Linked DNA regions of Alligator mississippiensis. The protein of the gene in region 2 purifies or fractionates together with the protein of the main gene of each other region. This does not show direct contact. Links are inferred from orthologs where the notes say so. Each region holds a gene or a part of one and is shown on either strand. Other genes may lie near its edges. The genes, in order: CORO1C, ACTR2 and CHURC1.

Region 1 (10,260 bases), on a different chromosome or scaffold from region 2:
TTTACCCCATTCAAAAAAGACCAAGGTTGAGCTGTTCAGTCCCATGCAGGGGAACAGGTGGAAAACTCGGGCGGTGATTCTCAGCCAGGGTGCCCGAGATCCTTGTAAGGGCGTCATGCAACATTCGCTCTGTTCAGCTTTCCAGCACCTCTGAGCGTCTCTCTCTTGTGAATCATGGGTAGGTTTCCATAGTGTCAAAAACCTTCTGACCCATCGAGCTCTTTCCGAGTCCTTGCATCAGAAGAATTGCTGCATTATTTTTCTGTAGTCCAAAGCGAGTGAAAGCTAAGAGCTGGCGTTTTCAAGGGGTGCCTTGAGCCTACAAAGATTGAGAGCCACTGTTTTATGGGTTTGCTTTCTTCGTGAATGCTTACATTCAGCTGAATATGATGCCGTTGGATTAAAAATCCCGGTAAAAAATGCAGGTTTTCCTTCCTTCTGTGAGACAAGCACTCAATATTATTGAAATGGAAAAAAACAGCCTTAAAAAAATCCACTTTGCTTTTCAGTTAATTTGCTGTTTACATCAGGGATGGTGGCGGGAGGTCGATTTTTCTCGTCTGTTTGGTCATTTCAGTGTCAGGGTCTCCTGGGTCAAATGGTGAGTCAAAAGCAGGGTGGTGTTGTATTTAAACAGGCTTTGCGGTAAAATGGGAGAAACAGGCAAAAACCAGATGGGGGAAAAAAAGATAAGATTTTGGGGAATTGGCAGTTTGGCATGAGTTCAAGAAAGGCCTGGGATAAAGCAGAGACATGCGTTCTCCCACTCCTTCCCCCTTCTCCCATCGGGGAGTTGGTGTGGGTGTAAGCTCCTAAATCACTTCCAGGTGCCGTGTAAAGGACTGGCCTTTTTAGAATTGATTAAAAATACTAGGAACAGTGTTATCGATCTTATTTCTGTGCGTCTGCGTGTTAGCGCTTGCATTTTGATCCAGATACGACCTGACGGCATCCCTTCACATTCGAGGCTGCGTACCCAAACAGGAGCTATTTCTCTCTCGTTACCGACAAAGTCGCCAACCGCTTTGCTGGGGGAGGGCTTATTTGTGGTGGTGTAATCTCCCGCTGAGCTGCAACGAGGAAATGGGTACCCGCTTCCGGTTGCATATTTTGGCCATTTTGAATGCAAGGTTAAGGATTTTGCAGAATGATCTTTGCCTTCCAGCTCCAAGCTCTGTCCGTGTCCTCCAGCCCGCCGTATTTAATGGCTTTCTGTGCATTCATCGCTATGGCAGTAGGCAAATGACACAGATTGAATGCGGCCGGACAATGCTGTCTTTTCTGGGTAATGATCTTAAATAGCCCTCGATAGAAATGGCCTGCCGAGGGCCAGTGTTATGTCAGCAAGGTGTAGGCTCTGTAATGCCGCTAAGCACAGGCTCTCCCAAGGAAATTAATTGCACAGCCAGAAACCCTCCAGCAGAAACGCCCAGCGTGCGGTAGCAAAGGCCTGTTCGCAGCAGTGCTCAAGAGCTCTGCTTCAGTGCAGCATACCTCGAGCGGTCTCTAAGGAAACCACCCAGGCCCTGCTACCATACGTATGAGAATTAAGCAATACTGTGCGGCGCTTTCTGCATCCGCAGCTCCCCAGATGCCTATGGGAGCAGGGAGCAGAGTGGTACTAAGCAGATTAAACCCAACGCTGGGTGGATGGGTGGGATTCCTCTATCCTGGAGCGCGCCTGCCTTTCTAACCCAGCTGTGGGTATCTCATGGAAAAAGTGAAGTCTTTGAAACACAGGATTGGGTGTTGGGTTGTTCCCCCTTTATTCCTGCTTCTGCTTTTCCTGCGCGAGCTTGGACAGACCACAGAACTGCCAGCCTTTGCCCCGTCTGCAAGACGGGAGCAGCCGAGTCCAGTGAGGTTTAATGCTGCTTGCAAAGCACTTCGCACGGCTTTAGCTCCTTCCAGCCGAGGAGCTGGGAGCGTGCGCTCTGGATGTCCCGGGTGCTGAGCAGCCAAACGGCTTGGGAAGGGCTGTCCCAAAGCAGGCCCACCCTCCGTTTGCTGCTGGAAGGCAGTGCTAGCTACCTTTTTTCCCCCTCCTCTCATGTTCAAGGGGAAAGCTCATATTGAAGAAACACCAGGCAGCTCAAGCCTTGATAAAACCCACTGCCACTTAAAGGATGCAGCGGTGGGAAGGTGCATTCCTCTTCCGGACCCTTAGTGAGGGTGCAGTGCTGCTCCGTCTCTCTGACTGGCTTTCAGCGCAGGGATTGATAGTTCTTGTTAAGGGTCTAATGTTCCCCATCTATCTTCTGATGCAGGCCTCATCTTGCTTTGAGATCAATGACTGGCCTTAGCCTCCTGCAGGCAGCGAGCTGGCTGCTTTGGGATGGATTGTGCAATGTCTGCTCAGCTACAGGAGGTCTGTCCCTGCCTCTGCTCCAGTTACGCCAGCCTCGTCTGCCCCTCTGCGCCTCCCCAAACTGACCCACGAAGCTGTTGGCATCCTTTACACCCCTGTTAAGGCCCACTGCTGCCAGAACGCCTCCAGGAAGTCCTCGCTGCTAAATAGCTGGGCAGAAGGGTGACTGGGCATCACATTAAAGTCAGTGTTTCTGTGATTAAAAACTCCAGTGCGTGTGTATGGATGTATGCACATAGGCACAGAAGTGTGCACATGTCTATATTGTGCCGCGCACCAAAGAAGACTTAATGTGGTTGCAATGTCAAGCCCCAAAGCTGGGAACATGCCAGCATTAAGGTTGGTGCAGCAACCTTTTGTCAGCCCCCTGGCACGATACGACCATGCTTGTTCATCCCCCCAGACTCCCGTCTTGCTCAGTGCTCAGGCTGGATTGCACTGGCTGTAACCCCTGGGTGCAGTTCTTGTGCCTGATTGTACAGGGGCAGGTCAGCCTAGATGATTGCAGCAGTTTTTCTTGCCTTAAACCCTAAACATTTCCCTTATCCTCAGTGCTCAGCATGTGGCTTTAGGCTGTGTTTGCTGCTTACTGGTCCAACTCCACGCTGAAGACAGCATTATTCATTTCCTCGTGAGTTTTGCTACGGTGCGCGTTGCTGTAGGATCTGAGAGCATCCCAGATATCGCTGGATTCATCTGCCCGGCATCCCTGTCCGACAAAGGCGTTAGTGCTCGTGTTTCGCACTGAAGCACAGCGTGCTTAATTTTTGGTGCACGCTTGGTCTTAGCACTTTGCAAGAACTTTGCTAGGCTTTCCCTGAACTCAGCTGCAGCTCAGCACTTCTGCTTGTTAGACCTCAGAAAAAAGAGGAACACCCCGAGAGCAGCCTGCTTGCGTAAAGCCTGAGCGAAGGGACTTACCCTCCAGCATCACGATCTTGTGGCAGCGGATGGGGTAGAGTCCCATTGTACAAGGCTCTGAGGCCGTTTCCCTCTTTTCCACCTCTTGTGTCACTCTCTAGCTACTTCCCAACCCCTGTAACAAATGAGATGAGGCGACAGACTCTTTATTACCCGCGCTTCTATTCATCTGCTCTGAATGAGGCAAGGGTGCTGTAGAAAAAGTAGCACAGGATCATACAACTGGAGATTGCCCAGAAGGCAGGCTCTGGAGGGGGCTGCCTGGATCCTGGCATCTTTTTTTCGGGGTGTCGAGCTCTTGGCTTCTGCCAATTTTACCGAAGGAAATTGCACACACGAGAACCCCCCCGGGTCCTGGGATGCGATGTCAGCGTGATGTCCCCATGGCTTAGCATCGAGGCTGGAACCTGCAGTCCTTTGCTAATTGAGCTGAGGGAGGAACTGACGGCAGTAGTAGGTTGTCACTCTTAGCATGGATTGATTGGGTGTCAGTGGGTATCGCTGGTATTCATTGGCAGTAGAGGACTGGTTAGAGTCAAGGAGCTTGAACTGCGTTTCCGGCTCCAGAGGATACAGCCTTCTCTCCACGTTTCTCTCCTCCACCCCCAAACTTTACCCTTTCTGCCCCCTCTCCTTCAAGTTATTGCTGACCCCAGACCCATCTCTTCCCCACTCCTCATCCCAGCCCATCAGGCAGACTCTCAACCCGGTCTCCATCCTGCCGCTTCTCTGTGCCCAGCCATTCCCAGTCTCCTTGTTGTCCCTTGCCCGCTCCCCTCGCTATCCCAACTCCTTGTCCGATGTAATCCCTGTCCCAGCGGCCCCGGTCGCCCCTTGCCTACCTTTCCCATTTCCAGTCTAACCCCCCACTCCTCGGGTCCAACTCAGCATCCTCATTTGCCCTTTGCACCCTGACTCTTCATCAGCTCTGCCTCCTCTCCCCCACTGGTCCTCCAGCCCTTGTTTCCCGCACTTGATGGAGACACCCAGCGTGGGAAACTTCATCCCAAACCACTGAGAATCGCCCAGGTATAAGCAGGACCACAGGATCTTATTGCTTGAAGTGTTGGGTAGCCTCAATAGCAGACGGTGCTTGACACTATATCTGATGGTCTCGCTGCGTCCTAGTTTTCACACATTTCTTGTCATCTTCCGTGGTAAGGAAGGACCGGGTCTAACTTGGCAAAGATCTGGCGCTGGAGGTTTCATCCAAAAAACATTTCGCTGAAGGAGGGGAGGAAAAACCCCAAACCACACCTTCTCTCCTTCTCATCGGCAGTACCAGCCTTGTGCAAGAGTTCCTGCAACACTGCTCTTCTCTCCCATTGGCTTTTGAAGGCATTTTCTTTTTTCTTTCCCGGCCTCTGGCTTGCCTCAGTGTTTTAAATTGGCCATTTGTTTGGTGCGCCTTTCTCTCCAAAGGGCCCGCGTCCACATGGGCTGAGCAGGATTTTGCCGTTAGTGGGGGGTTTTCCTGTCCGTGTTCCCCTCACAGGATGCGTTTCCTTTTGCAGAAAGCCGGCTGAAAACCCTCCAAGCTGCAGGCATACATCTGTTGGGCTCTTTAGACAGATAAGTCCTTCATGAACAGGAAAAGGGGCAAACCCAGGGACACACTGATGGAGAACGGGCTTCATTTTGGAGCACGAGGGGTCTATGTGACCCCTGCACGCGGCCGTGAAAACGGCTTTGGGGGCGTTAGCTTTAAAAAGCTGAAGGCTGTCCATCCTGATGTGCATTGCAAGATGCTCTATATTATAAAGTGGTACTTTTTTGCATTGAATTTTCAAGCAAAATTAACCCGCCCCCCAAACCCCGCAGCATTTAACCCTCTTTAATTGTACTTTCTCGAGGCAGATATCCCCATGTGAAGGAGCACACCTCGATCTCCCCTTCCTGCTCCTTTGATCGCAGGCGCAGCGCTGCTAACGAGTTCCCTCCGGCGAAGACCTCCGTGGCTCTCGGGCAGCACGTTACAGCATCTTTCCTCCAGCGAGAGCGTTGCCCGACTGTTGGAGCCGCTTCTGGCCCAACGGAGAAACAAAGGGCATCTTCACGATGCTCTCTTTCTTGCTCTCGTCCGTTAAGGAATTCGCCAAATTAGTCATTCACCAGGGGTCCCCCGTCATTAGCTTGAATTAGCCAGGTCCCGCTCCATTTTGCATATATGATAAAGGGCTGAATCGGGCTATTCAGGCACCAGCCCCGGAGGTGCGGAAAAGGATCCCTTTGGCCAGAGATTGTAACTTGAGGCTTTTTCTTTTCCCGGTCGTCCTGTCTTTCTGCAGCCGAAATCACCCTGGTCAGAGAACCAGGGGCGCTCAGACTGCAGCTGTCATTTTTCTTTTCCGCTCGCAGGGGGAAGGGAAGCTTTGCTGCTGTGGGGTATGGAGAAACGAATTGCCCGCTCAGTCTTCCCGGGCTTGCAGCAGGGTGGAGAGCTCTTTCTGGGATCAAGCTTAACCCTCTCTTTTTTTTTAATTTTTCACCTGTTCACTTTCTCTGGTGCACCCAAGGAGCCACAGCAGCTGCTTTTCCCTGCCTGGAGCCTGCACGCCTTCTCCTCCTCTTTGGAAAGCAGCCAGATCAAAATGGCTGTGAACCAAAGCCAAGAATCACTCCCTTTGCTATGGAAATGAGGGCTCCGCGAGACTGTTCAGCGTGTGTTCATCATAGACGGTTCCTGTTGAGAACGATGCATTTTGGGTGAAGTGGGGGGAGGGAAGGGAAGGGGAGGCGGGCACTATGGCAAAGGTGTGCGTTTGAGCCGAACGCTCCTGAACGAAGAGATTGGATCCAGCAGCCTGGAGTCCTTTTGCACTGGTGAAACGATGGGTAATTTTTTAAAACCCCTTCCTTGTGATAAAAAGGAGGGAAATTGGGTGGCATCCTTTCACCGTGGGGAGAAGGGAATTTCTTAGCGGGTGGGAGAAGAGCAGGGGGGCATCAGGCCAGCGTGCTGGAGAACGGAGGCTTTTTGGGAGCGAGCAGGTGGAGAGAAGCAGGGTTGCTGCCGGAGCTGTGATGATAACGTCTCCATTTCCAGGCTCCGAGCAGACACGTTGCAGAACTGCACGCGCAGCATGTGGAGCCGGGGCTGTCCAGGGTTGGGACCGCCTGAGCACAGGCTAAAAACTGGCTTTACCTTGGCTAAAGCCTTTGATTGACGCTTTGGCACGCAGCGAGGTTGAAGGGGGCAGGGAGCGGGGCAATTATGGGCTTGCAAAGTCCTTGTGAAAAGGTATCGCCTTGCACCGCCGACCCGCTCGCCCGTCTCGCCCCGTACGTGAGCCACTCCTGACTCATTCCTGCAGAGATCCCGGGAGGTGTGTCGCCAGGTAGGCAGGAGCCGTGCCAAGCATGGGTGTTTGCTGTTCTGCCTGGATATTGCAACCCGCGGCGCCTTCGGAGCACACCCTTCCCCGACTTCGCCCAGCGTGTGGATTAGCTTCGTTCTTGGGCACGTTGTTTGTTAGCGGCCTGGCTAGCTGGGAAACGATTTGGCAATGGAGAGGAGGAGGCTTCATCAGCCTTAGAGCAGCCGGTTAGAAAGAATCCCAGGGGCAGGATACGGCTCTGTATTATAGCATTGCCAGGTCGTCTTCTTTGCGATGTGTTTTACCTGAAGCTCAAGCCTCTTTGTTGCCCTTGCTCAGGTGAGACAGGTGTGTTTTCTGTCCTTTGCATATGGGATGGAGAGGCTAAGTAACTTGCCAGAGGTCACTCTGCCGGTCGGTGGCAAAGCTGGGATTGCAGCTGGGGTCTCCCGAAGCAGCCACATGCTCGAAGCATTCAGCATGCGCCTCTGAATCGCGGCAATTGAATTTTGCAGGGCATTTCTCCCAAGGGGAAGAGCAACATCCTGGTGCACTTCCACCTGGAGTTATTACCGTATTTACCCGAATCTAAGATGACTTCAAATTTAAGACGACCCCTGTCCCTCCCCGCCCAATAATTACATTCTAGACCTGCAAAATTATTATGATGTTTCATGTCTCAAATCTAATTATTGCAGGGTCATCTTAAATAAGTAGTTGAGTAGTTGTGGTATTTCACCCGAGAGTTGAGTCTAGCCACCTACCAGGTAGAAGCGACTGTGTACGTGCATGTGCGATTATATATTTATAAAAATAAAACTTGAACTGCTCCTTTGGGGCTGCTCCGCAGAGCTTAGCTCGACCACTTACACTGCTGCAATAAACTGCGAGCATGAGAAATTATCAGCGTTTGTGGGGGACTTGAGGCTTTCCTGTTAATATGCTAATCTGGGCGGAAGAGAAGTTGCTGCTCCCGGCCTTGTGATGGTGTAATGTCAAATGTGTGTCGGTTTTTTTATTTTGCAATAGCTTCCTCTTTGCTCTAAATTATGTGCAGTAACAAATGTTTTGTGCATTCATTTTCAGCCGGAGTAGTTCCAGTTAGTAATTTTTAGTTTGTAAATCCCAAGATGCTAATTCTTAGCTTTTTCTCATAGCACTTTTCAGCCCTACGTTTCCAGTTGCCCGCAAAATTTAGCGTTCGGACTTACAGCTGTTTTCTTTTAAGCTACAGGAGTTCTTAATAAAGCGCCATTTGTGGCACTTCTGTAGCTTAAAAGCAGCTAACTCATTTGGAGAAATGTAGCAGGCCCCTGCCAGAAACGGTCCGTCTCTAATCCTCTGTGTGCATAGGTAAGGCCCTTTGTGTTGCCTTAAATAATCACTTAGGATTTCTGGCTGAGTAGTAGAGACTCGAGAATAGGCAAACTGCAGCGGAGGCGGTAGGTGGGTTGTGCTCGGACAGAGAAAAGACCCTGGGAAGCCGAGCTGTCAGTGTGCCAGGTCATCCCTCGTGTCCTTTCGGGGAGAGGGAAAGCCAAACTATTTGGGCAGCAACACGATGATCTTGGTGGAAGCTGAAATCACAGTAATGAGAATTTTTTTTTTTTTTTAAAAGCAACTGTCTAGACCGGATGGCTGAAAAGACTTGGACTGAAATAGAGAGCCGTTTACCTCCAGGTCACTGGCGTGAACTCGGTTCGGGTCATCAGTGGCTGGAAGTCATTACCATCCGACAGCTGCTTGGCCTGCGCGGAAGCAGTTGGTGGTCTGCTCTGCTCCGAGATGGACAGATGTCCACCTTGCAGACATCGCCAGCCTCGTTGGCACGTTTCTTATCAGGCTTTGCATAGAAACCCGGGAGCGACTGGGCCCCTCTGATATAGCAGCCTGGGGGAAACTGGGGCTGCTGCCTTCCTGACTTCGAGCGTTGCTCTCCAGGGCTCTGTCCTGCAGCTTTTATACCAACATTACGGGCTCCTTTGAACATCACGTTATGGTCCGTATCCTCTGCAGATTTTAAAACCAGGGGCAAGCTGGCCCCGGGTCTGCTATGCTCGTAGTCTTTAGTGCTTCGGCATTCAACAGAAACACTAAGGGTGTTGGAATTGTGCAGGAAAGAAATGCACTGTAGAGAATATTTCCTGTTTTCCATGGAAATTGGAGGCGTCTCATTATATAATTGACTGACTGGTAAAGCTGCAAGACACTTAGCAGACTTTTTTTTTCCTTCCTTTTTTCCAATGGTATATCTACTGCATGACTGCTTGGCCAGTTCTGATGGGAGCTTTCTTCCAGACACGTGACTCTTTAACTATTTAGTGCACAGATGTGACAAAGTAGGTCGTTTTTAAACCTACCTGGAGGTGTGTTTGCATGCAGGTGTACGATAGCGAGTCTTGCATCTTTTCTGATTGCAGAGAGGTTGTGTGCACACGTATGTTGGCACACACTAAACCTGTATGGGGTGTGCAAAGCGTTTCAGACCTTCACTTCCCTTTCGAAAGGTGAATTTCCTTGTCCTTTTTGCTGAGTTAGGAACATATGGGCTGGCAAACTTATGGCCGGACCCTTAATTTCTGTTGTTGCGGAGATGGGGCACTTCAGACACTACGTGGAGGCCCTGCCTTCCCTATGACGGCATAAACTGTGATAGAGAAAATGTACAATGCGGGAAATCCTTTGCTGTTTTCAGTGAAGGGTCCAGAAGCTGCAGATGCGGAGAAATAAGACAGTCGCCCTTTTCCCTTGAGAGCCGACTGTTCTTGGAAACTTTGCCTTCCCAGTGCGGGGTGGGGAGCTGGATTTTTCCGCGTCCCTCTGAAGTCGACTGACACGGGACCCGGGTCCCGCTGAAAAAGTATTTTCTCAAGAGGAGGAGCAATGCAGATGCACTCAGAGACAGTTTGAGCCAGTAGCTTGTTTCCATTACTCCTCCCTGCTTAGGAAGCTAATTTTATTATTTTTAATGAGATTTTGGAGGCCGACTAAAGAACGGGAAGTTAGCTAGCATGCAGAACCACTTCACAGGAACACCGCTTTCTCAGAGCTCGCAGTTGAGCAACAGCTCCTGGACCCTGTCTGACTTAAAAGCTGAATAAGTTCAATCTAAAAACCAGGCAGTTTCCCCCATTCCTTTACCCTCCGCAAGCCGTTTTCAAACGTGGGCATTTTTTCCTTGGAAGGGCATGCTGAGCTGGGTGCTGCCCTTGCGGTACTAAGATGGACATGATGGCGATGGGTGGAGGGGGGAGAAGGTTGTCTGCAGAAAATAAGTCTTGCGGCTTTTGATGTGGACCGTGGTATGGCTTGAAAGCATTCGGTAGTGCTGGACACAAGACTGCGTGGATTTGAAGCCTTATATAGAGCTTTAAATCCATCTGCAGTTAGCCCGGTTTGAAGTATAAGCGGGTAGAGCATGAACATATGTAAGGAGAGGAGAGATAAGCGAGAGCCGCTGCATCTCCTGCAGCGTGTGGAGCTAGGCTGGTGTTCGTGGGTGGAAGCAAGGATAGCCAGAGGGATGGCTGGTAGAAAGAAAAGACCAGTCCACGTGCACCCCGCAGGCCTAGTCCTTCTGACCTTCTTGCTCTTTCCCCCGCAGACACCATGAGGCGAGTGGTACGACAGAGCAAATTTCGGCACGTGTTTGGC
Region 2 (10,224 bases):
ACTATAAAGATGATGGCCATAACTACCATAGCTCCACATGTGTACTAATTCATGCTTCTCTGGAGTTCACATCAACTGAGATTTTCTAAAAATACAATGAGGAATCTACCTCTCTATCAAAAATGGTAGTATATGCATTACTGCATTTCTGTTTAGAAAAAGGATATGAAACTTGTCATGGGAAAGAGCCAACTGGTAGTTTAATTAAAATTCCCTGGACTACAACTAAAAAACTGAAGATATACCCATGCCTCTGTCCACAGGAGAGCTCCCATCAAGCAAAGTCCACACAGAGTTGGTTATTAGGCAAAGTAAACACTAACATTTTAGTGAACAAGTCTAATTTTCATTCCACGGCCTGCCATGGGAAAGCAAGAGGGGGAAGTATTTTTTTTGCCTGTGATTGCTCTCGCTTTTCTTTTGCTTCACTTATTTTTTTTTATTTTGTCAGCTCCAACAATAGACCCATTTTGACGTTTGAGGAACGAAAGAGCTTTACTTAATATTTTTGTCTCCTCTGCAAAAGGCAAAACTAATTTCCAAGTAGGAGAAGGCTTTCCAGGAATATAAAATAAATTAGAAAGACAAGTTCTTGTGATCCCTTCTGCTTGTGTTGAGACCACAAATATCTAGAAATTATTCAAATTTGATCTACATCTAAAAGAAAGTGGTGCCTGCTGACAGCAAGGAAGGGGCGCTAGTTATTTTAGGTCTGAACTGGATAGAGTCACAAAACCTATCTGTTTGTGTGTTTTTACACTTAAGAAAGGGTATTTAAGAAAGCCTGAAGTGCTCTCAGGGCGCACTGATTAATGAGGAATAGCTCCTTACAAGTCTATTACTCCAAACTCGTACCATACACAAAACCTCAGCAATCTCACAATATTGCTTTTGGTTAAACAATATTACTATATTGCTTAGGACCCCTGATCATAGACCAAGATCCTATGGATGCCCCAAAGAGACAGTCCCTCCAAAAAACTTGCAATCCAACAGACAGCAACAGATTAGCAGGACTGTCGCATTTCCTATGCACTTGTGAAGTTACAGAATATTATTCTGCCTCAACATACCAGGTTTTGCAACAGCGTAGGCTTGATGAAAATGGGGTAACATTACCGTTACAGATGAAGCAAAAAGCCTTAGGGAGCATCTGAGTCTAGTGTCAATGATGTCGTGGGCAGCATAAAACTTAATTTTTTTTAAATGATGTTTTCCCCTTATCTCTATGCTTCTAAAGGTCCTGCACCAATCTGAACTGTCACTAGCTTTGTTCACTGGGTTCATAGCTTTTTATACAGCTGGCATGCCCCAGAAAAGTAAACATATAAAATATTTTATCCCTGTTTAAAAAGTACCACTCTCCTGGTTTAATGCAATTAAGTCAGCTGGAGAGAAATTCCGTGAAGGAGCAGGTATCATTCACTGCCCAACACATTTCATAGCTTCTCATGGACATCTGTGAAATTGGATGCATACAGCCAAAACCAAAAACAGCAGCATTATATCCACAGATGCGTCTATTGCTTTTTTCCTTCCCTCACAATATAACCTGCACACCTGAAACTTGAGATGCATTATCGCAGGATGCTTTAAAAAGCAGAATGGTTTTTACAGCTTGTGTTAAGTGCGACTCTCTCAATCTGAGCTGCCAGCGTTTCACATGCCTTGAGGACTGAGAAGGTAAATACCCTTTTCTGGCGCACTGGTTGAGGAGTTAGGCCATCACATGCAGCAGTAACCAGCGTTTGAATCTAATGACATTTCAAAGGGCTGTAGACAAATACCACTTGAAACGGGAGAGATTAACTGACACTTTGGACTGTTCATCAGCTGTTCTGATTTAACTTATATCTGTCCATTCTTATATCAGCATAAGCGAAGATAAACCACTATAACTTTAAGCCTCCTTCATTTGAGCTAGAGAGAAAACAAATTTTAAGTTGCAGTTGTTCAGCTCCATTTATACCAATACATAAACAGAAAAATGTAACAGTTTTTATGGCCATGAGAAGCTTCAGGTGCCAATTTGATTCGGAGACTTGGCCTGATTCATCAGCTGAATCTCCTAATTGAATCAGGAGACCAAAAAAAAGGTCTGAATCGATTCAGAAAAGATTCAGAGAGCTTTGGAGATTTAGGCAGTCCCCGCTCACTGCCACAGGGAGCTAGACGATAAGCGGAGAGAGGTGGCATGGGGACCCATCCCCTGCCTGCTCCCCCAGCCCCCCTTTGACCTCCCCCAAGGCTGCCCCACCTGGCCCCAGCTCCTGGTTCTTTAAAGAAAATGTCCTGCACTTATCAGCTATTGCAGTGGCCATTGGGGCTTCTGGGGGTTTGTGGCAGAGCCCCCACGCAGCGTGGGGCATTGGGGACCACCCCCCTGTTTGTTTGTTTTTTAATGACCTGACACTGGGGTGGGCATGGCAGCCATGGGAGGGGACTGGGGCTCATGGCAGAGCCTCCCACACAGTACGGGGCAGCAGGGATTGCCCCCCTGCCTGGCAGCAGCCAGCGAGTGGGGGCTTTTTAAGAGCCAGGATGAGCTAGGATGCTGGGGCTGGGAGAGTGGGTAGGGGATGGGGGCTCATGACAGAGCCCCCCACCCATCATCGGGCAGTGGGGAGCAGCAGGGATCAACCCCCTGCCTGGCAACAGCTGGTGAGTGCCCTGGGCTTTTTTTTTTTTTTTTTTGAAGAGCTGGGAGGCTGGGGCCAGGCAGGGCAGCCATTGACAGGGCTGGGAGAGCCGGGGAGGGGGGGGGGGAGCGGCGGCAGCAGCTGTTTGATTCAGATGCCAATTTGATTCAGGTGATTTGGGCAGTGATTCAAATCACTGTCCCCTGAATCGGCTGAATCCGAAGCGACAGGCCAACAGTTAAATATGAACCACATACACCAGAATAACTTGTATATTAGTTTGCACTTTTCAAACTTCAGTGTGAACAACCTTTACAATATCTGCTGGCTTTTTCCTATATCAGCCACTACAGAACAACCTGACATGCCTCTTCCCAGCAAACTGAATGGCTACTGTCGAGTAAGCAAAAGAAAGGCAATCAGAGACCTCTGGATTCACTCCCTGGATCTGTGGCATACAGTGGTTAGAGAGAAGAGAACATCAAAATGATTTAGATATTCTGAAAGACAGGATGGTGTAATGGTAGGACTGAGATATACCATTTTAGGCACTGTTCTGGGAAGTGATCTTAAGTGTTCTGTTAACGTTTTGAGAAAATGGGAAGATGAGAATGTTCAGAAACTGATTACTTCCACCTCTTTTTTTAAGTTAGTGTTGGCTGACAGCATTGATAATTTTTACCACAGTTACCACTGATAATTTTTTACCAGGTGCCACAGGAACTAGAAGGGTATACAGAAGAGAGAATGCTTTAACTTCTGGTCTCCTCTTACCCAGATTAGGAAGCTCCCTGTCCCCAGGTTCATAGTGGGCAGGGAACTTTAGTGAATGGGATAAATGACCAAAGTCAGCCTCATTTTTCAGCTGCCCTTGAAACGAAATAATATAAATTCCATTATCACTTTGTATCATCAAGTAAGATTCAAGTGGTTCAGACTGGTACATGTTTGCGATTTCCAGCTGAGAAGTTGTGTCACACCAGCAACCAATAACTGATGCACAAAATGCAAACAGCAAGAACGTGACAAAAGGACAGATCCCAGGGCATTTTAGATTTCTTGATAAAAAGACTACAAAGGAGGAGGAAAAAAAGTCAAATATGCCCAAGAAAAGATGGCAGGCACTTAGTTTCCCCAAAGATTATTATCTCTCCAAGAGCATCACGTTATATAATAGAGGGCACACCCCTCCCCCCCTTAAGGTAACCTGATCAAGAATTATAATCAATTTTGATTTTACTAATGCTTAAATACCCAGTATTCACCACTCTTGTGAAACTGGAACTCTCTCATAAAACCTTAACAATGGCACAAATCCTGATGCACCACATCATCATGTATGTACTCCTTGAGGTACCAGTCATCTGAATTCAGCATGGTGCAACAGATTCTTAACATTTAAATACGTGACTGCATCCGTCTTTACATAGTGAAGAACTTGACACTGAAATCCCCCCCACATCTTTGCAAGTTGTAAAGGTTGCACCTTATAATCCAAGAGAGCGTATTAAGAACAGCTTCTTAGTTTGCTTGATCTGTGCAAGATACCGTGTGTAAGAGATTATTTTACCATATATAGTTTCCTCTTCATAGCATTGTGGTTGAAATGACTTCTCTCACTTCCTACTGAGTCATCAAGTGGTAAGAACATGCAGGCTAAAGATATTCCTTTTAAACAAAAATAAGAACACCATCTACATCTGCTCACAAACCTGTTTTAATGACAAGTTTCATACTGAACAATCTTATGTCTCCCTGGTAAAATACTGTTATGCAACTCAGACAAAAGAATTCTAAATATAATTAGGACAAAATTCCAAGCCTACAGTAATTTGCCATTTGCCCTAGAAAAGCACAGAACATGCAGCTTAAATGTTCTAGATTTTAAAATGCTTCTATGGAATTTCTCAAAGTTCTTCCTATATCACGTGTCATGAGAATACACTTATGATGCTCTTTGTAAAACAAAAACAAAAAAAAGATTGCAATCTGACTGAGGCTGCATTTAACATTAGATGAACAAAAGGTCTGCAATAAGTATATATAAAACTTAAGTTGAAAATACTATAATTTAAAGTATGATCTATAGCTATACAGGTTTCCCTCTCCAACCATGGGGGTTAGGTTCCTGAAAGTTTCTGTGGTTGGCAAAACTGGCAGGGCTGGGGGAACAGGGGCTGTGGGTGGGGGGTGAGGAGCACCAGCAAGGCTGGCCGGGGGGGGGGAGGGGGGGGGTGTAGGGTTGGGGGGGGAGTGAGAGTCACAAGCAGGGCCAGGGGCATGGGGGGTATTTTCCAACTGCATCCCCCAGCTTCTCTAAAGCATGGATAATCAAACCGTGGTTGGTGAGGGAAACCTGTACTATAATTTGAAAATAGTTCTTGTTTATATGGTCAAATCCTTGGGTTCATTAGGCAATTTTAAAATTCTAATAATGGTGCTGTTGCTTGCTTCAGGAGCATTCAATCCCTGGCCTATGGGCCACATTTAAACCCTGGTGCCATGTTAGCCAGCCTGCAGGACCCCCTGTGGGTCCAAAAATTTGGTGGCAACAAAGTAGTGGCCAAATTTTCCATGAGGAGCCCTGCATGCTGATTTAGGCATATACAGCAGCGTGGGGCCCAATCCTAATGTATGTGGTCAGGCAGGGATGACACAGGGGCCATGCAAGTCTGTATATGACCCAATCCAGGTGTGTGGGCTGGGCAGAGGTACTGTAGGGCCCAATCCTGGTGCAGGGGACCATGACCAAGCCCTACACCACTCATTTGATCCATTGGACCAAAAGACTGAGCATCACTGCCTTACATAGCTCAGAAAAAATATTAGTAATAATTATTCTAAAACAGCAAACTACTTTTTTCTTTATAATAAATAAAGATGACCTAAAGATTCCATGCCCTATCACTATTAAATAGAAAATTATTTCTTTTCCTTAAGCACTTTCTTAGGGAACTTGGCTATTTATTGAGAGTTGTCAAGTCTTAAAATAGCAGTGTTGAAACAGCAGCAAAGATGCACTGTGTCTCATGTGCTCCTTAGCTTTCAGCATTATATATTTAAGGGGAAGGAGTACTTTAAAAAAAAAAAAAAAGAAAGTCTGAATAAAAATTACTTCCCCAATTGCCTGATGCAAAAGTTCTTCCTCCCTTGGTAATGTCAGTTTCTTTAGTTCTCTAAATGTTCCCAAGAAGGAGAAGGGACCTAGCAAGGCTACAATACCATCATCCAATAACTGCAGAGGTGCTAAACCAGTGGTTTTCAACCTTTTGTTCATTTGCGGACCCCATAACAATTTAGAATGGATGTGTGGACCCCTCCGAATTGTAAGTGTGGGTATTCACGTACATTTAATTGAGTACAGTCATCTTCTGTGGACCCATCAGGCCGCAGGATCCCAAAACGGCCGGATCCTTTCCCACCACCCAACGACCCCGCTCGCAGGCCCGACCCTCGCCCCCTCTTTGTCCCCGCCGCCGGCCGCAGGCGGGCGCGGAAGTGGCGGGGAAGGAACACCGCCCTCCACGCCCGTGCGCCCCGCCCCACTCCCGCCTGCCCGGCCCCGAGGAGCCCCGCCTTGCGTTACAGCCCGGGGGGGGGGAAGCAGTGCCGCCACGGCGGGGTAACCACGGAGCGGGGGTGGGGCAGCGGGGCTGGGGCCTCAAGGCGCCGCGATACAGCGGCGGGGGTGGGGTAGCCCTGGGCGGGGACGGGAGCCGGAGCCCCGGCAGGAAGCAGGCCGCGCTACCACGAGAGCCGAGCCGGGCCGGGCCCCGCCACTCACCCCGGTGCCGTTGTCACAGACCACCACCTTCCTGCCCAGCGTGTCCATGTCCGCGCCCGGCCAATCGCCCCACTCAACCGCCGGCCTCGCACACACCGGAAGCCACCGCTTCTAGCTCCGCCCTTGGCGCGCCGTGACTGACAGGCCGCCGCCAGCCAATCAGCGCTCTGCCCGTCGGTTTTCCCCCTCTCTCCCACCTTTTTTTTTTTTTTTTGCCGGTCGGCATGTTCGCCCCCTCCCCCCACTCCACGAGGCGTTGCCATGGCGGCGGCCGCGGGCACTTGGGCCTTCTCACTGCCCGCCCTGCGCAAGATGCGGGAGTTGCTGTTGCGAGGCGCGGACGCCACGGACTGCGTGCAGGAAGCCATGGCAGGTGAGGGGAGACCCCGTGCAGCAGCGCTGAGGGGTTAACACCTGGTTGTTGTTTGGTTTTTTCCCCTTTAAAAAGCAATGGGAGCTGGACTTGTGGGGATGGGCCGCGCGGGGTCGGAGGAAAGCCCCACTGGACGCCGCCCGCTCCTGGGAAGGAAGGAGGCGCAGGCGCAGCGGGAGGGGCCGGGCGCGCCGCACGGGCGGGACGTGGGAGCGCTCCACGGGCGCGGACAGACGTTAACGACCCGAGAGTGAAGCGCTTGGAGGGGAGCGGCTCCGGGAAGTCAAGTGGCTCCCTCAGCTTTACCTGGCTAGAAATGCTGCTGCTAAGTGCATGGTTTTAAGCTTGGAGTGGAGCAGGGGTCAAAAGTGGGGGGCACAGATGCACTAATACACCCCCCCCCACCCCCCCTTTGGATCTGCCCCTGATTCCTAAGAGAAACCCTGAGTTTTCAAGCCAGCGGTTTTAAATCTGTTGTGTCCTGCTGGGGGCTCTCCAAAGGCTTCAGCTCAGCGGCTGTGGAAACATGAGTGAAAATGAAGAGCTGGCATTTTCTGAATGTTGCCCTGAGTCTGGGAAGGGTGAGAGCCCCTGCTCTGCGTGCATCCCAGCATAGTTTGTTTGTCTCGTGACCTTGCATCCATCAACACAAACTTAAGGCACATTGTGTATAAAAGTGGCAGGACTTCAAGTGTCTGCCCTCATGGAGTTAAAAAAATACATGGTCAAGTACCCTGTACTGTTTTGGGGCAGTTGTTACTTTTCCAGGCTGACTGGAGCCCCCATCAGTCCCCTTCCCTTGCCAGTTTCTGTCCCCTTCTGAGTAAACAGGTGTTTATTTCTTTAAAGAAACAGACAGACAGAGCTCTTATCGAGTTTCCTGTCTTTTTGGCCCAGAACTGCTTTGCTTTTCAACTGCTTTGCTTGTGTATCCAAATTTCCCATCAACTGAAATGAGGCTACAGAAATGCTGTTCGGCTTTTTGGATAATTCCTGTATCGCTGGTGCTACCTAATGTTAGAACAAATGTCTTTTACTTCAATGTAGCCAAAGGCACTTGAGCACAATTCCTTTGTTTATGGCAGGGCTGTCCAGCTGGCAGTCCATGGGCTGCACATGGTTTGGGAAGGGTTCACAAGCAGCCCGCAGACCAGGGCCAGACACAGGCATGGGTGAACTGGGCAGCTGCCCGGGGCTTGGACAGATATGGGGCCCAAAATGGTAATTTTTCCCCGTTTTCCTGTTGTTGTTGTTGTTATCGCTGATGAAGAGTTTGCCCGGGGCCACAATGAGTCTAGGTATGGTGCTACCCCAGACTTCCACTAGGTCGTTGCTGCCCCTGTTATATCAGATGGGATCTTGGGGCTTCCCCTCCCCCAGTTTCCACTGCCTGACCTACCCCCAGGGGGGACAAAGGACATGATACAGTCCAGCTTAACCTTCCCCCACAACCTGTGGTGTCAGGGGAGCTAGCAGCCCAGAGCCCTGTTGTGACAAAGTGCCTCCAAAAAGTCCACAGGGAGTTGTCGGTGAGGCACGGCACTGCATAATGGGGTGGGGGTGCCCGCTTCCCCATTGTAACAGGATGTGGGGTGCCTATCTGTAGACATGGGGTACAGCCTGGGGGATGTAGGTCACTCTTTCATATGCGTATGTCAGTCCCCCATAAATAGTGTTCGTTTTGACCCTTCTGTACTGTTCAATTTCTTAATGGGATTTTGGGAAGCACTCGGATTTTTAAAAAATGGAAACTTGGGTCTAACGCTTAACTATTTTTAAACTTTACTTATCTCCAGCTATTGAAAATGATGAGGAGACAGGGAGTTATGTAGTAGGACGAGGAGGCTACCCAAACAAAGATGGATTAATCCAGTGTGATGCTGCTGTAATGGAAGGGCATTCTTGTCATTTTGGAGCAGTAGCGGCTCTGTCTGGGTACGTAATGTGCTTTAATCTACCTGCGGCAACATGCATAGATTTTTATAAGTATGTGGAAAGGTTTCATGTCCATAAAAGTGAGGGATTTGCATTGCTGGATAAAGCACAATAAGCAATTGCAGTGGAAGCCTCCTATCAAGCCTGAAATATTAACTAAACTGAAATCATCTGACTTGTTTTACACTGTGGTCCTGTAGATAGGACACTGGTTTGATAGGCACAAGAGTTGGGCTCTATTGCCTGGTCTGCAGTTGACTAACATACACAACCTTGGATGAGTCATTTGACCTGGCAATTTCTTTGTCTACAAACTTATCCCACAAACAAAGACTTATCCCACATTTGTAAAATGCTTGAGGTAAGGGGATGAAAGTGCTACACACGTTTATTTTCCATTGGGTCATATCCTGCAACTAATTTTCATGCAAGCTTCCAGTAATTTTCAATGATTGTTTTATAATGGCAAAGTATGGTCCAACTGAGGTAAGCTAGATTTCCAACCTCATGTGCTTAATGTAAAACACTAATGCATTAACTAATACAAGTGCTGTATATTAACTAGGTCATTTTAAATATGCAAATGATCTTTTGTCCATCTTAGTAACATTGCCCCCATGACTTTCGTAAATGACAGTTTTTCCAGTAATTGGGCTACTAAGGAAGAAAGCCATGCTCTAATTCATAACAGAGTAATTGAAAACATTTTTGTGTAAAGACGGTAATGTTGAAACCTGGCATGTAATACACCAGTAACCAATTAATTTTGTTAATCTGACACAGCAAGTAAGATTAGACATCAACAGGATGCAAGTTCTGTAATGGAAATAGGTCTGTTAAGGAGGACCTCGGGTGTATAGTACAGCATAGCAATTAAAATCCATTGCTATATTTGGTGCTAACTACTGCTGATGGTTATTGAGTGGTCTTATGGGATTCTTATGTTTCGTTATAGGACAGGTATAATGCAGGAAGGAATGTGTTCTGAACTGAATGACATTTTAAAGTTGGGTTTTTTTTACCAGTTTAATTCAGCTGGAGCCTGACTTCACATTCACAAGTGTATTTAAAATATGAGAAGAAAAAGAATGAACACATCTGTAATAGGAAAATAGGGATGTGTAACTTATAATGAGTGCAGCTCTGTTGTTAAAAATGATTCAAGTAGTAAGGAGTGTCAGGAATTGCTACAGTGATAAAGATGCAGAATAGGTTTAGACAACCCAGAATAAAAAGGGTCTGAGCTTTCTCTATGCTTAGTAGTGTTTCCACTGCTACACCATCAGTAGAGAATAATGGGTCCTCAATTTTAACCAAGTAACTGCATAAAAATCCACGAGCCCTGTTAAAGAAACAATGTATTTTTTGCGGAATCCTACTAATAGGTGGCTTAGTTGAACTCTAAATGATATGAAAGGAACTGACAGCTCTTTTATGGTCAAAGGATCTAGAGCAGATAAGTCTGTCAAAGAAAAACTTATAAACAGGAAAAT
Region 3 (10,239 bases), on a different chromosome or scaffold from region 2:
CTCCCTTCCTCGGGCAGTGGCTCCTGGCAGCTCAGGCCCTCCAAGCACAGGCAATGGCGCCTGCACTGCCACCTGGCCATGGAGTTCCCCACTGCACCCCTGCCCCTTTCCCCTGCTGGAGAACAGGCAACCTTCCCCCACACCTGCCCTGTCGCAGATACAGCCCCCACTCCTGCCCTGACCAAATGTCTGGGATTTTGCTGTGCTCCAGGACTGGGGGAGGCAATCGGAGCCAGCAGGGAGCACCACATGGTCTGTGCACCTCTACAGCTGCAGGCAGGTCCAGGTCCACATGTGCTCCCTGCTGCCTCCAATCACCCTCCCCCCTGCTCCCACCAGCAGAGCAAAGGCAAATCCTGGACAACCTGCCTGGATGGCAATCAGAGGGCTTAAAAAGAGCAGGAACACATCCAGGGAAACCCAGACATATGGTAACCCTATCTTGGCAGCACATGCACACTTGAGCAAAAGCGTTATGGACAGACAGACAGACAAAGCCCTTTATTATATTAGATTTATTTAAAATATTTGAATCCTGCTTTTCTGCTTGCACTAAGCACCTAAAGTGGCTTAGGCTTAACAATATCTTTTTTTTTAAATTACATAATAGATAGTTAACTATTTCAATCCAGCAGAGCAAGCTTAGTCCTCAGGACAATGGCAGAGGCCAGACTATACTTCCCTTTGGCTCTGCAGTCCCAGGGCAACTGAGCAGCAGAGCATTCTTTCTGGCAGGGAGTGGGGAAGCAAGCTCCCTGCCGCTTCTCCTTCTCATGGAGGAGGCCAGACTAGACTAGACTAAAGTAAAAATCTTTTCCCCCTTTTGTTGCAGGAACTTGGTAGCTCAAGTGAAATAGCAGATTTACAAAAAATGGAAAATGAAAATGTTGAGCTGCCAGGTCTGGGGGAAGAAGAAGCAGGATTCTTGATTTCAAGATCACTGTCATCAAGCTTTGTGGACAAAATGTCAAAAGCAGATCAAGAAAAAGCAGATGAGACATTAGCTTGAGCTATATTTCAAGTACACCTCTTTCCATAACTGAAAATCAAGACTGGAAGGAACATTACAAACTAATTCACCCATCATATAAATTACTGTCACTTATTGCTTACCACATTCTCTCTTAGATAGAGAGTATGACAGAGTTCAAACAATGGTTATATTCAAAGGATTGGTCAAGCAGAATCACTGACTGATGTCAGATGGATGAACTGATATACAAGGAAATCCTTTATTGAACATTGTTAGCAACACCTGAACCAATATTCCTGAAAGCAACTGCTACCAAATCTTCTCATCTCACAGGTGAATACATAGCCAAATTACTGAGTGAAGAGATTGGAAGTGCAGGTCCCTCCAGGGTACAAGCCCTTGTAACTGACTATGCGAGTAACATGAAAGCTGCATGGCAAGTATTAAAGGCAAAGTATCCTCATTTACTAGTATTTGGCTGTCTTGCTCATGGGCTGAATCTTCTGGCAAAGGACATAGTAAGTGTGAATACAATGAAGACAATATTGGCAAACTACAAAGTGATTGTGAAGGTATTCAACAATCATCACATTGCTAATCAAGACTGTAAAGAAATTACAGAAAGAGAAGCAGGGGAAGGAAAGTGCATTTTTATTGCCACGAGAAACTAGATGGGGCTCGGCTACAAAGTGTTTACATAGTTTGCTGCACACAAAGAACTGTTTGCAGTGTGCTTCAAGAGATGACGCAGTATCCCAGATTATTCCTGTGAACGTAGGGAAGCAATCTCACCAATGATGCGTTCTAGGTTCGAGTTCAAGAAGCATTCAATTTGCTACTTCCAGTTTCAGTGGCTATCAAGAAACTTGAGGGAGATGCACCAAGACTTTCAAATATTCCAGAGATATTCAGACAACTGAATGAAAATCTAATTGAGCTTTTGCCTTCTTCACCTCTATCCAAAAAAGGAGGAGGAGTAAAACAAATGTTTACTAAGAAATCTGCGTTTTGCTCTCATCCAGTTCATCTGGCAGCAAACCTTTTGGATCCTCAACACCAAGCACATTTATCAGAAGATGAATTATCTACTGCTCTCAATACAATTATGGAAGTAGCTAAGAATGTCCCCAACATTGACGAAATAGCCATGATGACAGACATTGCCAAGTACCGACCGCACAAAAGAAAAACTTTGGAGCAAAGACATCATTTGGCGGGCAGCAGAGAATATGTTTCCCCTCCCATGATGGAAGGGATACTGTAACACCCGACTGTTGTCCAGGAGTGCTCTAAGGATCCTAAGCATTCCACCAACAGCAGCTTCCTGCGAATGGAACTGGAAGGCTTTCAGCTCAATCAAGACAAAAGGAAGAATAGACTAGCAAATGAACACACTGCTAAGCTTGTTTCTATTTCTCAAAATCTCTTGTTTCACAATTAGTGAAGAAGATTCAGTGTGATGATAAGTTGCCCTTGCCCATAGACTCATTGGTAACACCATCCTTTAGTGAAAGATAATGTGGTTCAAGTGGTTCTAAATCAGATCTGCCTCAATCTGATTCTGAAACGGCACTAGTAAGTAGTGCAAGTGATTCTACAGATAGTGACAGTGAAACTGGAGGTGCCTCAATGACCTCAGTGGAAGATAGTTCAACTCTGTTGAAGTAGATGAGTGGGCAACCACAGCATATCATGCACAGTTCTTTGGATGTGCTAAAATTAGTGTGTCAACAGTTTTCCGTGCTTTCATTTTTTTTCTTAAGTTTAAACAAACAATGTAGGGGAAGTACAGGCTATTGTGTATTGTTTTTACATTTTTACAAGTATTCTAATAAAATAATTGTTTTCATATAAAGCTTTGAATTTGTTTTAATATAGCATTTAAACCACATTAAGTGTGCTGTATTTAATTTTTTTCCCAATCAAATATTTCAGTTCATATACTTGTGGCTATTGGAACACAAAATTAACATGGGGGTACTTTTTTAGTTTTGTTTACTAAATGTAAGTCAAATAAACATGCTAAATCAGATCACACTCTATTTGGGGCATTGGAAAAAATTCCAATTCAAAATTTTCTGGAAAACCCACATCTCTGAATCTAATAGCCACCATCACCTCTGTCTTGTCTGAATTCAGTTTCACTTGGTTCACCCATATCCAATGTACAACTGCAGCCAGGCACTAGAAAAGGACTGAGGTTGCAAGGCCTGGGTCAAATGGGTATCATCAGCATATGGATGATACCTCACTCCAAATATCTCTGTACCATCTCACACAGTGGCCTCATATACACATGGAACAAGGGGTATGACAAGATGGACCCCCTAGGGACCTCATGGGAAGGATTCTGCAGGGCATGACATACATTTGCCCATCACCACCCTCTGGGATTCCCCTGCTAGGGAAGAGCAGAACCCATTTAGAGTAATCCTGCAAATTCCCAGTAGGTCATGTAAATCCTTTACCAGAACCCTCTAACTCATGGTCAACTGTATCAAAAGTACAATTTTCCCTGTCAATCTAAAAGCCAAGATCATTAACCAAGGCCATGAAGTCAGTCTCCACACTACTCAAGATGAAACCCAGACTCTTGAGTGTTCAGGAATCTCATGTCATCCAGATACATCCAGGGATGCCATTCAAAGACCTGCCCCAAAGAGTGGAGGTCAGAGACAGGGCAATAACTGGCTGGACTGGAGAGTCAGTGTCAAGTGATAGATTCTTGTGCAGGGACCAGACAAGTGAAGACGTGAGAACATCTAGCACCCTGCCATCCTGAAAGGAGGCACTGACAACCCTCACTAGTCTCTCCATGCTAGTTTCTACAAACCAAGATGGGCATAGGTCCAGTTCACAATTGGTCACCCTCATCCTCCAAAGCATAGTCTGCACATAGTGCGCGAAAGCAACATGATTCATATCAACAGGACAAGACCGGGCTGCCTCAACTTCAGACTGATCCTGCAGCAAAAGTGATGGTCCCCAAGCTGTGCCAGATACAGGCAATTTTGTCTCCAAAGTAGGCAGTCTGAAGACATGGCTTCCTGGCAGACGAGCTGGATTAATCAGGTCATTCGCCACCCAGAACAATTCCAGGGATGACAGTTTGCAGATGCAATGGCAGTGGAGAAGAAAAGATTCTTTGCCTTTGCCACTGCCCTGCCATAGCTCTTTAAGAAGGACAGTAATCAGTCAGTTCTGGCATGAGCTGAGGGCCACCTATGCTCTAGCCATCTACCTTCCTTTTCAAGCTGCTTGTTTCCCAGTGTACTGGAGGGGACTTGTCCCACTGCAACAGTAAGAATGGATGCCTGGGTTCCCCTATAGCTCTGACCAAGGTCACAGAGTTATTCCACAGACCAGAACAGCCAGCTCTGGAAACCCACTAGTTCCTTGAGTCTCAGGAGGTGGGCTAGCCAAGTCCACCATCCTGACAGGCGCAACAGAGGGCAGAGATCTGCACTTCTAGGAAGTAATAATCTGACCATGAAAGATTTTTAATGACACTCCCAGTAACTGGAGCTCCTCTATCTCAGCAGGTGGAAAACATTAGATTGAAGGTGAGCCTCATGGGTCAGCCCAGTTACTATCCTGGACAGCCCTGTGGTCATCATAGAGGCCATGAAGCCCAGCTCCAGCCCTGAAGAGTCAGCAGAGACACTTCAGTCCCCCAAGTAAGTCTAGGTATCCTCAACAGGGCCTCCAACGCCAGCTTGGCCGATCTGAGGGGGAACCTGCTGGGCAGCAGTGCGGCTGGCTCACCAGCAGGATCTGCGCCATCCACAGCCCCACAAAGCAGAGGCTCACGCCGGCTGCTCAGCCGCATCAAGTCGGACTGGGGGCGGAGGGAAAGATTTTCCCACGGGCTGAGGCCTGCCTCCACTCCGCATCCAAGGCAGTCTTAGCCGCAAGCCTGCGCCAAACCCGGCAGCGCACGCAGGGAGATGCCCGCGGGCAGGCTGAGGGGAGGCGCGGGGACAGGCCGCTCGAGCCGCCCCGCGAGCTGCACGGCGCCCTAGGCCCAACGCCCGGCCTCCAGGCCCAGGCGGGACCCAAGCGCCCACCACGGCCCGCCCTTACCCGGGCCGGGTACTCCGTGCCCACGCAGCCCCCACACATGGCGCTGCTGCCGCCGCCGCCGCCGCCCTTCCGGTCGCCGCCCCAACCCTGCCACGAGGGGAAGGGCTGGCCTGGGGGCGGGGTTTGGCCTCGCTGTGCTCCGCCCCCCTGAGGGAGGGCGCTGGGGCGGGGTGTCCCGTGTGACAGGTGTGGCCGGGGGGGGCGCGGACACGCGGCGGCACAGGGGATGCGGCTCCAGCGCCGGGGCTGCTGCAGGTGCTGGGCTGGCACCAGAGTGGCACGACCACAGGCTGCTTTGCTGCTCTCCTCCGCTCCCCGTGGGGAAAGCGTCAAGATTGGTATTAGAACAGTTTCAACGGTCAGGTAGCAATTTTTTTTTCCATTTAAATGTTTGCAGCACTGCATCAACACGTGCGTAGTTCCCAGTTACTGTTATTGTTGTGTAAGCCAGTGAAACAATATTATACTTACCTGCCAAATAACTGTGTGTCATGTTTGATCGGAGTTATAACATTTCAGGCTATTTTAATACAGGTAAGCAAATTCCCCTTTTTTTTAATATTGTGAAACAAGTGTCAGACTGCTGCGATACACAACGCATTAAAAATGTACAGCAAATTTACGAAGGGTTTTTGAACTCGAAAGCTTGCTTAATAACTATTCTCCAACTATTTGGGTTGGTCTAATAAAAGATATCAAATTCACCCAAGGAAACTTGTCTAGCAAATTTACTGTATTTTTAACTGCTGACCGGGAGTAATTTCTGCTTTTTGACATGGGGCCCAAGAAAAAGTCAGGTGCGCAAACAAAAAAGCTGGGAAAAAACAGAGCAGAAGAAAATAAGAAACTTGTAAGCAATTTAAAACATTGGATTTCAGCATCAGTAGAACAGCAGTCTAGGTCTAACAATGAGATGCCTAGCCAAGCAGAGGATAACAGTGATCGCTCAGATTTGGATGCAAGTTGAAAACATCAAAAATCTTTGTTTAAGTGAAAATGAAGTTGACCCTGAAGGGGCAGTAGCAGAGAGTGACAACCATTTAACACATCATCCCAGGCAAAACAGCATGGATTCAGCAAGGGCAAGTGATGCCTGACCAGCCTGATTGCCATCCATGATGAGGTGACTGGCTCTGTGGATGCGGGAGACCAGTGGATGTGGTGTACCTTGATTTTAGGAAGGCTTTTGATGTCTCCCACAACATGTTCGCAGGCAAACTAAGGAAGCATGGGCTGGATGAATGGACTGTAAGGTGGATAGAAAACAGGCTGGATCACTGGGCTCAGAGGGTGGTAATCAATGGCTCAATGTCTGTTTGGCAGTTGGTATCAAGTGGAGTGCCCCAGGCATTGGCAACGCATAGGGGGTGCATGCAGGTGCACGCGCACCCCCTGAGATTGGCTGTGCTCCGCCTGAGAGAAGTGCCAGCAACACTTCTGGTTTTGCTGCCGGCACTTTCGCCAGTGGTGGCCATCAGCTGCTGGGGGACCCCCTTCCCATCCTGGTTGGCAATTGGCCAATGGTGCTCTTCCCCTCCCCACCCCAGTATTAGGAGGCACCAGCTGCCCATGGCCCTAGGGGTTAGTCCTAATGCTGGTTTTGTTCAATATTTGAGCACTCCCAGCCAGGTCATGAGGCGCTACAGGGATTTGGGAGCAGGGCTCAAGGGTCTGGGGGCACAGGTGGTGTTCTCATTGATCCTCCCAGTCTCAGGCTATGGGCTGAGAAGGGACAGGAGGATCTATGTGGTCAACCAAAGACTGCGGTGCTGGTGTCGTCAGGAAGGCTTTGGCTTTCATGACCACAGCCCACTCTTTGGCGAGAGAGGCAGTGAGCTGCTGGGAAGAGATGGTCTCCACCTCTCTCCCCTAGGGAGGAGGCTCTTCTCAGCCAGACTGGCTGACCTGCTCCACCGGGCTTCAAACTAAGCCCGCTGGGGGACGGGGGGGCTACCGCCACTGCTGGCCTGCTGAGCAATCCTTGCAAAGCCAGCGGATCACGGCACTCAAGGGAGCCCACCCCAGCCCCAGCCCTGGTAAAATCTGTGGGCAAGGAAGGAGCCCCCCAGGGGGCACTTGCCTGCCTCTACACTAATGCCAGGAGCTTGGGGAATAAGCAGGAGGAGCTCATCCTCCTGCTCAGTGCAAACAATTACGATGTCATAGGGATCATGGAGACCTGGTGGGACTCCACCCATGACTGGACCACGGGTATAGATGGCTATGCCCTGTACAGGAGGGATCGTGTAGAGAAAAGGGGCGGGGGTGTAGCTCTCTATGTCAAGGAAAGCTACGCGTCCCTGCAAGCCGATATTGGCGACCAGGGTAGATGGCTGGAGACCCTCTGGGTTAAAATCCATGGGGAACACGGCACAGGGGACACAATGGTGGGAGTCTATTACAGACCTCCCACCCAAAGTCCTGAGCTTGACCAGGGGTTTGCCCAGGAACTGGCTGAGGCAGCTTGCTCCAGGACCATGGTTGTCATGGGTGACTACAATTACCCGGACATCTCGTGGGAGGATCGCTCAGCAAAATCTGAGCGGTTGCAGAGCTTCCTCTCGTGCATGGATGACCTCTACCTGACTCAAGAAGTCTATGGGCCAACGAGAGGCAAAGCGCTGCTCGACCTGGTGCTGGCTACTGGGGATGACCTAGTCGGCAACCTAGTGATCGATGGGAAGCTGGGTGACAGCAACCATGAGCTGATCACCTTCACCATCCGCTGAAAAGCTGGCAAGTCAGTCAGCAACACGGAAGTCCTTGACTTCAGGAAAGCCGACTTTGACAAGCTCAGGAGGCTTGTCAGTGAGGCCCTAAGGGACTGTGACCACAGGGAGAGGGGAGTTCAAGAAGAGTGGTTGCTCCTCAAGGGAGCGATCCTTAATGCACAAACTAAGTCTATTCCATCTCAGAGGAAAGGCAGCAAGAGGGCACAGCAGCCCCCCTGGCTCTCCAGGGACCTAGCAGACCTCCTGAGGCTTAAAAGAAAGGCCTACAAAGGATGGAGGATGGCAGTCACCTCCAAGGAGGATTATTCTGCACTGGTCCGGTCCTGTAGGGAGCTGACCAGGAAAGCCAAGGCTGCAACTGAACTCCAGCTAGCTTTGAGCATCAAGGACAATAAAAAGTCCTTTTTCAGATATGTGGGAAGCCAGAGGAAAAGCAGGGGCAACGTTGGACCCCTGCTGAACCAGATGGGGCAACTGACAACTGACGCCCAGGAAAAAGCCAACCTATTAAATAGGTACTTTGTGTCGGTCTTTCATCAGCCCCATGGGACGCCCATGCCCGCTACAGGGCCGGGAAGTCCGGGTGAGGGTGATCCCCTGCCCTCCATTGATGCTGACTTCGTGAAGGAACATCTTGAGAAGCTGGATACCTTCAAGTCAGCCGGCCCTGACAATCTTCACCCCAGGGTACTCAAGGAGCTGGCAAGCATCATAGCCTAGCCTCTAGCGCGGATCTTTGAAAACTCTTGGCGCTCTGGTGTAGTGCCCGAAGACTGGAAGAAGGCCAATGTGGTGCCTATCTTCAAGAAAGGGAGGAAAGTGGATCCGGCTAACTATAGGCCCATCAGCCTGACTTCTATCCCAGGGAAGATCTTAGAAAAGTTTATTAAAGAGGCCATCCTTAATGGACTGGCCAACGCCAACATCTTAAGGGATAGCCAGCATGGGTTTGTTGCGGGTAGGTCTTGCTTGACCAATCTCATTTCCTTCTATGACCAGGTGACCTATCACCTGGACAAGGGAGATGAGATTGATGTCATATATCTTGACTTCAAAAAAGCCTTCGATCTGGTGTCCCATGATCGTCTCTTGGAGAAACTGGCCAATTGTCACCTTGGGTCCTCCACGATCCACTGGCTGGAAAATTGGCTCTGGGGTCGGACCCAGAGGGTAGTAATTGATGGAAGTCACTCATCATGGTGTCCTGTGACCAGTGGGGTCCCCCGGGGCTCTGTCCTTGGACCCATACTGTTCAACATCTTCATTAATGATGTGGACACTGGAGTCAGAAGCGGACTGGCCAAGTTCACAGATGACACCAAACTTTGGGGCAAAGCATCCACACCAGAAGACAGGCAGATGATCCAGGCTGACCTGGACAGGCTCAGCAAGTGGGCGGACAAGAATCTGATGGTGTTCAATGCCAATAAATGCAAGGTTCTCCACCTTGGGAAAAAAAACCCGCAGCATCCTTATAGGCTCGGCAGTGCTATGTTAGCTAGCACTATGGAAGAAAGAGACTTGGGGGTCATCATTGACCACAAGATGAACATGAGCCTGCAATGCGATGCTGCGGCTAGTAAAGTGACCAAAACGCTGGCTTGCATCCATAGATGCTTCTCAAGCAAATCCCGGGACATCATTCTCCCCCTGTACTCGGCCTTAGTGAGGCCGCAGCTGGAGTACTGCGTCCAGTTTTGGGCTCCACAATTCAAAAAGGATGTGGAGAAGCTTGAGAGAGTCCAGAGAAGAGCCACGCACATGATCAGAGGTCAGGGAAGCAGACCCTACAATGACAGGCTGAGAGCCCTGGGGCTCTTTAGCCTGGAAAAGCGCAGGCTCAGGGGTGATCTGATGGCCACCTACAAGTTTATCAGGGGTGACCACCAGTATCTGGGGGAACGTTTGTTCACCAGAGCGCCCCAAGGGATGACGAGGTCGAATGGTCACAAACTACTACAAGATCGTTTCAGGCTGGACATAAGGAAGAATTTCTTTACTGTCCGAGCCCCCAAGGTCTGGAACAGCCTGCCACTAGAGGTTGTTCAAGCACCTTCATTGAACACCTTCAAGATGAAACTGGATGCTTATCTTGCTGGGATCCTATGACCCCAGCTGACTTCCTGCCCTTTGGGCGGGGGGCTGGACTCGATGATCTTCCAAGGTCCCTTCCAGCCCTAATATCTACGAAATCTATGAAATATCTTCATCGGTGACCTTGAAGATGTGATGGAGTGCATCCTCAGCAAGTTTGCAGATGACACCAAGCTGGAGGGAGTAGTAGATATGCTGGAGGATAGGGCTAGGATTCAGAGTGACCTAGACAAATTGGAGGGTTAGATCAAAGGAAATCTCATGAGGTTCAACAAGGACAAGTGGAAAGTCCTTGTTCAATCCCATGCACGAGTACAGGCTGGGGATGAACTGGCTGGGCAGGAGCACTGCAGAAAA

Evidence for each region.
Region 1: the proteins of ACTR2 (region 2) and CORO1C fractionate together in Homo sapiens (co-fractionation; 3 studies listed by BioGRID and IntAct, with this or other methods). This does not show direct contact. The link is inferred for Alligator mississippiensis from reciprocal best matches to the Homo sapiens genes ACTR2 and CORO1C.
Region 3: the proteins of ACTR2 (region 2) and CHURC1 purify together in Homo sapiens (affinity purification with mass spectrometry; 4 studies listed by BioGRID and IntAct, with this or other methods). This does not show direct contact. The link is inferred for Alligator mississippiensis from reciprocal best matches to the Homo sapiens genes ACTR2 and CHURC1.

The regions. Positions count from the first base shown.
Region 1 is NC_081833.1:4,731,354-4,741,613, reverse strand, and holds the start of CORO1C (coronin-1C), read left to right. Parts: upstream 1-6,034; 5' UTR 6,035-6,120; coding exon 6,121-6,124; intron 6,125-10,210; coding exon 10,211-10,260. UniProt on the Homo sapiens protein: Plays a role in directed cell migration by regulating the activation and subcellular location of RAC1. Increases the presence of activated RAC1 at the leading edge of migrating cells.
Region 2 is NC_081824.1:214,971,149-214,981,372, reverse strand, and holds the start of ACTR2 (actin-related protein 2), read right to left. Parts: upstream 4,306-10,224; 5' UTR 4,291-4,305; coding exon 4,210-4,290; intron 1-4,209. Other genes in the region: N(4)-(Beta-N-acetylglucosaminyl)-L-asparaginase, read left to right, coding at 6,685-6,796, 8,593-8,731. UniProt on the Homo sapiens protein: ATP-binding component of the Arp2/3 complex, a multiprotein complex that mediates actin polymerization upon stimulation by nucleation-promoting factor (NPF).
Region 3 is NC_081825.1:171,526,035-171,536,273, reverse strand, and holds the start of CHURC1 (protein Churchill), read right to left. Parts: upstream 5,166-10,239; 5' UTR 5,096-5,165; coding exon 5,057-5,095; intron 1-5,056. UniProt on the Homo sapiens protein: Transcriptional activator that mediates FGF signaling during neural development. Plays a role in the regulation of cell movement.